Ovis aries: one gene and its partner. The protein of the gene in region 1 binds, or shares a complex with, the protein of each later gene. Links are inferred from orthologs where the notes say so. Each region holds a gene or a part of one and is shown on either strand. Other genes may lie near its edges.

What was found.
Region 2: the proteins of GNAS (region 1) and GPR6 are in contact, whole or in part, in a cryo-EM structure (PDB 8TYW), measured with the Homo sapiens proteins. The link is inferred for Ovis aries from reciprocal best matches to the Homo sapiens genes GNAS and GPR6. Residues at the interface, in NP_000507.1 of Homo sapiens: Gln35, Arg38, His41, Val217, Phe219, Asp323, Asp343, Leu346, Ser349, Thr350, Arg356, Tyr358, Cys359, Phe376, Arg380, Asp381, Ile383, Gln384, Arg385, His387, Leu388, Gln390, Tyr391, Glu392, Leu393, Leu394; in NP_005275.1 of Homo sapiens: Met107, Asp165, Arg166, Ser169, Leu170, Ala173, Leu174, Thr175, Tyr176, Tyr177, Leu182, Ile248, Val252, Arg254, His255, Ala256, Gln258, Ile259, Leu261, Gln262, Gln263, His264, Lys276, Gly277, Thr280, Leu281, Arg332, Asn333, Gln334, Glu335.

Annotation. Positions count from the first base shown.
Region 1 is NC_056066.1:57,214,661-57,219,852, reverse strand, and holds the start of GNAS (guanine nucleotide-binding protein G(s) subunit alpha isoforms XLas), read left to right. Parts: upstream 1-2,188; 5' UTR 2,189-5,192. Other genes in the region: neuroendocrine secretory protein 55, read left to right, coding at 679-1,404. UniProt on the Homo sapiens protein: Guanine nucleotide-binding proteins (G proteins) function as transducers in numerous signaling pathways controlled by G protein-coupled receptors (GPCRs).
Region 2 is NC_056061.1:27,520,280-27,525,315, reverse strand, and holds GPR6 (G-protein coupled receptor 6), read left to right. Parts: upstream 1-1,975; 5' UTR 1,976-2,137; intron 2,138-2,755; 5' UTR 2,756-2,774; coding exon 2,775-3,872; 3' UTR 3,873-4,352; downstream 4,353-5,036. UniProt on the Homo sapiens protein: Orphan receptor with constitutive G(s) signaling activity that activate cyclic AMP. Promotes neurite outgrowth and blocks myelin inhibition in neurons.

The DNA.
Region 1 (5,192 bases):
TAACCCTGGAGAAGCTGGGGAGGGGTCCGGACACCATGGAGAACCCATGCCCCGCTGCGCAAACACTCTAACCTGTGGCTCGCTGGCTGGCTGGCTCGCTCGCCCCATGGCACACGCCTGGTTCCCCCGCCGCTCGCGTCCTTCAAAACCTTTCAAACAAGGTTCCCTCCTGCCACCTGCCGGTCCACTAGGGTCTGAGCCTCGGCTCCGCGCCACCGCGCAGCGCGCGGGGACCCGCCCCCGCCTCCCTACTGCACATGCCCGGCAGAAGTCCGGGCGCGCAACTTTGCAGAACCTCTCAGCCCCGTCTGTCTTCGCCTCAGTCTCCTCTTTCCTCTCCCAGGCGAGAGGACCAGCGGAGGCACCTCTTCGGAGTCTTAGGCTACAGAGTCTAAGACTTAGAGAGAGGGGCCCCGGAGGAGACGGACTTTCCCACCCCTTTTCCCATCCTTTCTTTATGCCCAGAGAGGCAAGCAGAGGCGCGGAGCTTTAGAAAGTTGAGTGGTCAGGAAGGTAGGTGCTTCCCTTTTTCCCCTCGAGCCGAGGTGGGGCTGGGACCGCCGGACCCAGCTTCTTCCCTCGCGAGGAGCACCTTTTTCGGCTCTAGCGGCCGATGCGCTTCGGAGCTGCTCTCTGCAGAGCCAGAGGGTGGGTCGGATTCGCCGAGTGTGCGTGAGGATGGATCGTAGATCCCGACCTCAGCTAGGGCGCCGAGCTCGCCACAATTACAACGATCTGTGCCCACCCATAGGCCGCCGGGCAGCCACAGCGCTCCTCTGGCTCTCCTGCTCCATCGCGCTCCTCCGCGCCCTTGCCACCTCCAGCACCCGCGCCCAGCAGCGCGCGGCTGCCCAGCGCCGGAGCTTCCTGAACGCCCACCACCGCTCTGCAGCCCAGGTATTCCCCGAGCCCCCTGAATCTGACCACGAGGACACAGACCTCGAGCCCTCCCTTCCCGAGTGCCCAGAGTACCAGGAAGAAGAGTTCGACTACGAATCCGAGACCGAGTCCGAGTCTGAAATCGAGTCCGAGACCGAATTCGAGACCGAGTCTGACACAGCCCCCACCACTGAGCCGGAGACCGAGCCCGAGGACGAGCGGGGCCCCGTGGTGCCCAAGCGCCCCACCTTCCACCAATCTCTCACCGAGCGTCTCAGCGCCCTGAGGCTGCGGAGCCCCGACGCCTCCCCGAGTCGTGCGCCGCCCAGTACTCAGGAGTCTGAGAGCCCCAGACAACGGGAAGAGCCCGAGGACAAGGATCCGAGGGACCCCGAAGAGTCTGAGGAGCCAAAGGAGGAGGAGAAGGAGCAGCAGCGTCGCTGCAAGCCGAAGAAGCCCACCCGCCGCGACCCATCCCCCGAGTCCCCTTCCAAAAGGGGGCCCATCCCCATCCGGCGTCACTAATGGAAGACGCGCCCCGGATTCTCCTTGTGTTCTTTGACCCAGGTTGGTTGCCCACTGCTAAACTGGGGAGTCTGGGGTCGGTGCAGGACCGGCGGGAGGAAGGGAGGGAGGAAAAGCAGGTTAGAGGGGAAGCGGGAAGAGAGCGGGCTCAGTGAGCCAGCCCGGGAGGGGCAGGGGCACAGAACCAACTGGGAAGGGCTCCCCAGATCTCCCCCAGGGTGCCGGTGGGCGCCTAGGTGGCCAAACGCTTGTTGGACGGTGGGGCGTCTTTGCGTTCCTCTGGAAACAGCCAGAGGTCTCCGAGCTGGCGTCCAGGACCCGCGCAACTGAATCCCGGGCGCACCCCAGGTTTCGAGCTGTACACCCAGAAGGCACGGGTAAGTCACTTATTTTATGCGCTTTTTCCCCTTCTAGAGAAACTAGTCTCAAACCAGTTGGCCACGGCGGGTGCCAAAAACGTGGCTCAGAAGTGCTCGCGCCAACTTTCGGAAAGCAGAGCCACCGCGCTGTAGCGACACTGTTGCAATGTGCGAAAAGTAACCTGGCAGGGATTGGGTGAGAACTCCGGAGACTTGCCCGCTCCCGGAAAGTCTCTCGCGCGCGCGGCGCTTAAGGCACTTGGAGCCTGGAGCCCAGGACCCTTTGCTGCCAATTTGCAGCCGCGGGGCCTCGGCGCCAGTGCCCCTCGCGGCTGTGCGCCAGTCCTGGCCGCCACCGCCCGTCCCCGGGTGCTTGGCGGGCCAGAGACCGCCGCAAAAAGCGTGCGCACCTGCCTGCGCGCCTCATAGCAGACCTCTCCGGGCCAGCCGGCGGTTCCCCACGAATCACCTGTGCTTGGAGGGCAAGCAGAGGAGGTACGGGAGTTTCGGGAGGTGCCCAACGGGCTACCAGGGTTGGGGGCACGGACGTGGTCGTGTCGCGGCATCGCCAACCTTTTGGCGCAGCTGGTCTGATGGTGAGGCTGGGTACATCTTGGCTAGAGAGGTCCCGGGCTTTTTGCGCAGCTGCCTGGGGATGTTAGATAGTAGCTAAAAGGTCAGCGAGGTGGTCGCGAGCGGAAAGGTAAAGCAGAACAAGGAACAGGCTGGAGACAGAGTCGCGCCTATCATCAGGGAACCCCACAACGCACCCCCAAAGAAAGCATAGCCAAAGAGCGCATTCCGAAAGAGCGCAGCACCCGGTGAGCTGGGGAAAGGTGTAGGAGCCGCCGCAAGTCCCAGGGCGATTAGTTGAGAGACGGAAGGGGCCGGAGGCTCCGGCAGCCTCGGGGAGGGGAGGGCTGGCAGCCCGCACCGGCCATTTTTGGCTCGGGTGGGGATAAGTTTGGAATCTGTAACCTGAAGGCAAAGCTGGAGCACAGAAACGGCCGCAATCCGGTAACGCATCTTCGGTGCGTAAAGTGTGCCTTTCTCGCCAACCCTGGGGGGAGAAACTGGTTAGTGAAAATGTATTTACAAAACCTCCCCCGATTTGGAAATTGATCTTTTTCTTGGTGCGCGGGCGTCTCGTTTCGTGCCGGTTTGAGCTATTCTGATGAGAAGGATTTGGGGGGAAAGTGAGGCGTTTGGAGACTTGAAAAGGCGGGTCGGGTTCTTAGACTCCTAAAATAAGGTTTCAGCCTATATTCAGAACATATCTTAAGGGGTCTTCCTTCCAGGTCTCCGCCCGGGGGAAGGCGTCGGGCCGCCCCAAAACTTCGCTCTGGTGGGCTGCGGCGCTGACTAATGGCTCTCGGATGCTGCTCTGGTCTTAACTAGTAAACAGCGGCGAGGGGGCTTCCTTGGGCAGCGGGGGAAGTGTCCAGAAGTCCGAAGGCTGCCTAGGACTTGGAGGCGGGTCCGGTGTGCCCTGTCTTTGGCTTGAAAGCGTTAAACTGCCTAGGTGAAATGGGGCTCCTCAAAGCTAACATTTCTACTTAGTGTAAAAACGGCGGCGCAGTGTTCCTATTGGAGGCATTGAACGTGCTGGCTTTTTCTCTGGTGATGTCTTGGCAGCCTGCGCTCACCCAGTTAAAGGTCTCTGGTGAATAGGCGGCTGCGGTCAGGATGCCCTTGGCTTTTCAATGTGGGGGCTGCCCTCCCAGGTTGGAGAGTCTAGGGGAACTGTTTTCCTGCAGAGCTGGGTTTTCCATTAGAGAAACATGTTGCTTTAGCATATAAAAGTTGAAAAAAAAGTCCTCAGTGCAACGCCCACACCTGTCACCCCAGTCTCGGGCTGTTTTTTAAACAGAAGCCTGCGCGGGAGAGGGTGGCTTTCTTAACTGTAGGCATTATACCAGGTTAGTTGAGGGGGCTGGGTGCCCCCTTCCAGGAACGCAGTGTTGGCCATCTTTCAGACACTCCTCCACGAACTACCGGATTGAGAAAACCTGTTACCCTCCCCCACTCAGTTCCCTTCCCCCACCCCCTCCCTCCTTCCATCCTGATTCCAGGGTAGAAGAGTCATTAGGAACATACAGAACACCTGAGGAACATACCAAACCCCTGTGGGGAGGACCCCCACCCCACGGAGAGGGGCTTTTGCTATACACAGGATTCAAAAAGCCCTCTTTCTACCTACAGCACTAGTGTTTACCTGCCTTTCTCTCCCAGAAGCGTTTCTGGCAACTTCTCCAAGCATTCCCCACTCTCTAGTCTCCCAACTAGCCCTTTGTCTCACCCTGCTGCCCTGAGGTATTAGCATTTGAATGGCCTTATTTGTCCTTGCAACTTAGGAAATGGGCTTCTAAAAAGCAACCCTTAGAGTTGACCACAGGGGTGAATTATCAGCCAGTTACGAGTTTCGACTGGAGAGGAAGAAAGGAAGAGGAGGGGAAAACTAGTCAATAAAGCTGGTTAAATGGTCTGCTCCAATATTCAGGATTTTTTGTTTTGCTACATTAATCATTTGCTTAATAAAAATGTGCTTTTTCTTGGACAAAAGTGTTCTTTTAACTGAACCTGAGTTGGAAAATCATGCATCAGTGTTCAAATACTGTGTGGTGTCAACAGTATGATGAAGATTTATTTCTAAGGTTTGGCAAACAAAACATTTAATCTGTTTATCAGAATTCAGGAATTGGGAATTTTAAAGTTTGGAATTAAGATAATGTCTGTTTAACGCACTAGAAACTTTTCCTCTGGAAATGCTATCACCCCTTTACTCTTTAGCCTCAGTTTTAGCAGCTGTGATAGAAGGTTTAATGAGGAAGAAAGCTGAAACTTCAAGGTTGATAAGGAATGAGCTTTTAAAAAAAAAGTGCATGGATTTTACTCAATTTTTCTATATTATCACTGCACTTCATGTAAAGGGAGGCTACAGAGAGGAAACTGAGCAAAAATCTTGGTGGCTGGGAAAGTATGTCTCTTAACAGAAAGGTGACGGATTACAAACAAATCACTAGAATCAAATCAAACTTCCAGAGTGATGTCATATGCCAACTCAAGGACTGCCCTTCCCTTAAAAATTGTCCAGCAAAGAGGCGAGGAGATTCTCAAATTACATCTTTAATCCTGTTTTAGAATGAGGGCTGGAATTCCTCATCTTGTTCTTCGGGTTTGCCATTAATGTCGCTGTTTTCTAAATTCTGATGCCCCAGAGCTGGATAGCTGGGTCTAAGACCTCAGGCTCATTGCCCACCCCTGCCTGCGGCCTGAGGTCAGGCCCAGCGGTCTCTGCCTCAGTTTCTTCATATGGAACATGAAGGAGCTGAAGAGCAGGTCCTAGCATCCCTTTCTGTTCCCAGTACCTCCAGGGTGACTAAGTAAAGCAAATTTGACTCAGATCAATGATTTTAATGCTAAAGGAGC
Region 2 (5,036 bases), on another chromosome or scaffold:
ACATGGGAGAAACAAGGTGGAGCTTGAAAGAATGCCGTCTGCTGTCAGGACCCAGTTTAGTATCTGAGAGAGGTAACCACAGACTGGCATGATGGAAAGATAGTCTACAAACCCTCACAACCAGCATTAATGTACGTGAATAAACATGTGTTATCTTCCTCCTGAAACTACTGAAAAGCCAATCGATTCTTGGTGATGGTGACAGCCTGAAAATGTCTGAAACACAGGATCTCTGCTTAATCTTAACCTCACACTTACCGCTGCACTGTGACATGTAAAACTGTAACACATTCAGATCCTAAGAAAGATCCTCCTCCCCTTGGGTTTTCATCTGATTGTTTGGAACATTTGTGATTAACATGTGATTACAGCGGTTTGACAGTTTGCTTGACAGCTCTGAAATAACATTCTTGATAATCTTCTATTGAAACTCAAAATGGCACTTCCAGAAACTTAGAACCAAGTTGCAGCCAAATTGCAAGTTCACAAGAATTTTATAAACTCTCCCAATGGAGAAATTGTGTATAAATTCATTTTATGGACCCACACTAGCTACTGCAGCTAAAGATTTGAATGGTCCTATTAGTTTTTCTTCTTTTTCTAGTTAAGTACAGCTGAACTGAGATAGGAGGGCAAGATGAGTCTGGACTTAGGGGGCATATTTAAACGGAGAAGGCCAGGATAAAAATCTACCTTCCAATCCAGCCTGGAGGCAAAATGAAGCCAGGAGAGGGAAGAAGTTACATAGGGGAAAGTAGAGGAAGCACCAGCAACAAATGTCTATTTTCACCTTGCCTAGAGCACGTGGCCCCTGAAAATCACGTCTGTGGCTCTGATATAATGCCATCATGTCAATAAGAAATCATTTATTCCAGAGCCTTAGGTGGAGTCAACTATTCTAGCTTTTCCCCCCAAGTACAGGTATTGGAGATTTTAGCTAATTAAAAAAAGAAAAAGAAGCCTAATACTTGTATTTTACTGACCAAACAAAACACCTTTAAACCAAAAGGATGAGTTATCTAAGTTGGAAATAAAACTCCTGCCTACTGAAGTCTGGTGCAGCTGAGTTATCACTATTTTCATCCTGTAATTTGTTTTATAGGGTACTAATTAACAGGGCAAAGTCTGTTGCCAGGAAAGTAAATCACATTTTGCTGTTTTCTTCTTTTCTAACAAGACACAGACCTGGTCTTTAATTAAAGAGCAAGTTCCAAGAGCACTATCAGCTAGTGCAATCGGGGAACATGTGGCTGGGGAGATCATGGTGAAACCCTCTGTGCAGAGTTCAAGAAAGGTAGTGAGAGAAAGGAAGAAATGGAGGGGGAGAGAATAATTGATTGCACAGGTAACCTTTGAAAGAAGATATTGCTTTCCCCAAATGTCCCATCTTTTCTCTCTTCCCCACAACTCAGCTTTTCTTCTCTAACTCTACTCAGGTGACAAGGGTACCACAAACATCCTTTTAAGAAACCCTCACTGTCCCCTCCATACCAGTTCATTCCTGTCCCCTAAGTTTGTTTTTTTTTTTTTTTTTTTAAGGTAGCACCTCTCTAATTGGACCTCTCTGCACCAAGCTCCCTCTTCTCCGGGGTTTTTCTTCAACCTGGCCCCCTCAGTGAGCTCCGGCCTTGAGTCTTGCTGCCTGGCCAGTGCAGCTCATCCCCCACCCCTCCCCTCCCACTTCACCCTCCTTGCTATCCCTTAGTCTTCACTCTTTTCTTCTTTGCCTCTTTCTCCCGTCTATTCCTGGAGGTTCCGAGCTGGCGGCGGCCTTCCGACCTCTCCTTCTATGAATCCTCTGAAACATCGTTTGGGGAGGGTATGTGGTGAGGGAAGTAGCTGATGGGCGGGCAAGGAGAGCGAGTGCCTGGCTTGCACCCTAGAGCCAGGAACCTGACGTCACCGCGCCCTGCCTGTCAATCTCCAGCGGGCGCGCTGCTCTTAGCCGCCTTTTCTTCTACTGACTGTATCTCTCACTCTCTCCGCAGCACCCGCACAGCGACAAGCTCCCGACACTCCCCTGCGTGCCGGGCGGGCCACCTCCTTCAGGAGTCGGCTCTGTTCGCGCGGGGAGCCCAGTCTGGCGCCCCACCGCAGCGCTCATGATCAGCGATTTCCTGAAGCCCTGACTCCCCAGGTGAGCAACCGGGCTCTCTAAAGGAACTTTGAGGGTGTGCAGAGGGGAAGGGGTGAAGGATGGCCAGGGGATGAATCCTTTTCACCCGGAGAAATGGAGCCAAGCTGATTCCACACTCTCCACCTAAAAAGACATTCCAGCTTCTCTCCCCCAAAACCCGTTTCCTAGGAGTCTCTGAAGCCAGAGGGGTCCTCTGTGCTCCCCGAGCGCAGAAACTTCTCTTTCAGCACCGCGGACAGCGATTCCGCCGCTTAGTTGAGGAGAGCGCCTGACCGAGCGGGTCAGAGCCCGGGCAGGACTCGCTGGGGCCGACAATAATAACCTGGTGCACAAGATGTGGTTGCAAATATGGGCACACTTACGTGATCCGTGTGAATGTGAGTGCATGTTCTTCGTGTGTTTATCTGTGCAAAAACTCCGATACCAGTGCGGCATCCCTTGTGCGTTTCACTCTCACTGGCTCACTCAACAGGTATTTATTTATTTTTGGCTCTCAATCACTGCTTCCTCGCTCTGCTCTGAGGCGGGATGGGCAGTACGAGCAGGGCAGCAGCGCCCGGGGAAGTACCCTAGCGGGGTGAACCGCACATCTGACACTTGTTCTCCCTCTCCACGCAGGGTGTAACGTCCCGCCGCGATGAACGCGAGCGTATCTGCGCTCAACGACTCCCAAGTGGTGGCAGTGGCGGCCGAGGGTGCGGCGGCAGCGGCCACCGCAGCAGGAGCGCGGGACACCGGTGAATGGGGGCACCCGGCAGCCGCAGCGGCGGCGGCGCTGGGGGGCGGCGGCGCAGCTAATGCGTCGCTGGAGTTGTCTTCGCAGCTGCCAGCGGGGCCGCCAGGGCTGCTGCTCTCGGCAGTGAATCCATGGGACGTACTGCTCTGCGTGTCTGGGACGGTGATCGCAGGCGAAAATGCCCTGGTAGTGGCGCTCATCGCGTCTACCCCTGCTCTGCGCACGCCCATGTTCGTGCTGGTGGGCAGCCTGGCCACCGCCGACCTGCTGGCGGGCTGCGGTCTCATTCTGCACTTCGTATTCCAATACGTCGTGCCCTCAGAGACCGTGAGCCTGCTCACTGTGGGCTTCCTTGTGACCTCTTTCGCTGCCTCAGTCAGCAGCCTGCTGGCCATCACGGTGGACCGCTACCTGTCCCTCTATAATGCACTCACCTACTACTCCCGACGGACCCTGTTGGGCGTGCACCTCCTTCTTGCTGCCACCTGGACCGTGTCCTTAGGCCTCGGGCTGCTGCCGGTGCTTGGCTGGAATTGCCTGGCGGAGCGCGCCGCCTGCAGCGTGGTGCGCCCGCTGACGCGCAGCCATGTGGCGCTGCTCTCTGCCACCTTCTTTGCGGTCTTCGGCATCATGTTGCACCTGTACGTGCGCATCTGCCAGGTGGTCTGGCGGCACGCACACCAGATCGCGCTGCAGCAGCACTGCCTGGCGCCACCCCACCTTGCTGCCACCAGAAAAGGTGTGGGAACGCTGGCAGTGGTGCTGGGCACTTTCGGTGCCAGCTGGCTGCCCTTTGCCATCTACTGCGTGGTAGGTAGCCACGAGGACCCAGATGTCTACACCTACGCCACCCTGCTGCCCGCAACCTATAACTCTATGATCAATCCTATCATCTACGCCTTCCGCAACCAGGAGATCCAACGGGCCCTGTGGCTCCTGTTCTGCGGCTGTTTCCAGTCCAAAGTGCCCTTCCGCTCCAGGTCCCCCAGTGAGGTCTGATGGCCCCCTCCACCCTCTAACCAACACCACACCCCTAACAAGCCAGCCTTTGGTGAGCTTCTTGGTGCCTGCTGATGAACTCTGAGATCCCAATAGTGTGACTGATTTTGGAAAGCCAGGATAAATATAAACACAACAAACTCACAGAGACAAAGAGGCTTGTTGGCACTTTACATATACAGTGTATACATGTGTACATATATATACAAATATTTGTATCTTCTGGAGGTGTTCAGGAGGTGGAATTTCCTGTTCTGTGAAAAAAAACTAACAAAAATGTGGTTGTATACTCAAATTGTACATCACATTTGTTGAGTGAAGACATTCCAATACTGCTTTATTATAGCACTTTATTTTTAGCTGCTGAACTGCCAAAACAGTGTTGCCATTTTCAAGGGGAGGGGAAGAGGGTAAAAAGTGTATTTTTGTTGTACGTGATAGAATATTTTGCTGCATACACATCAGTAAATTACAACATATTTTGTACACAAATAAACACATTATAAAAATGTAATTTGGGCATGTGACTGGTGATAGAATTACTATTTAAGACATGAATTATTAGTGCATTTACTTTAAAAGTTTATTATGTATCATCATCCTGTGAAAATCTTAATGTAAAAAATCATACTTACTTGATCATAAATTATCATTGAGACACCTAATACAAATTATTGGGGAAGTCAAGAAGGGAATAATTACTCACATAATAGCATTCACAGGCCACTAAAGGGTTATTTGTATATCAGTACAAATTGGTTACTGGGTTTGGAAGACAAGCTCCAAAGGATGTCTGAAACCATTCCTTCATCTTACCACATGTGTGCTTACAAACCCACAAGCCACAAATTTAAGTGTATTTTTTCCAGTCTGGAAAGAATTTTAAATGTTGAAAATTCATATTGACTGAGTATATTGTTACTGGCCAGGTCTTGTAGCAAAATGCACAGCCTTATAAAATAAATAAATTCTTCAAAGACAAGACCTCAAGATATACTGTGTTCATGAGGTACATGAAGGTAAGCCCAGCAGCCCACTTTGAGGCACTCTTATCTGCAAAGCACAGGACATTAAACTAATAACCTTAAGAACTAAACTTTCCCACTCCACCAATGCATGTGAATCACAGTTAAACTGTTCCCTCCTTCCCTTCCTATAGGTCAT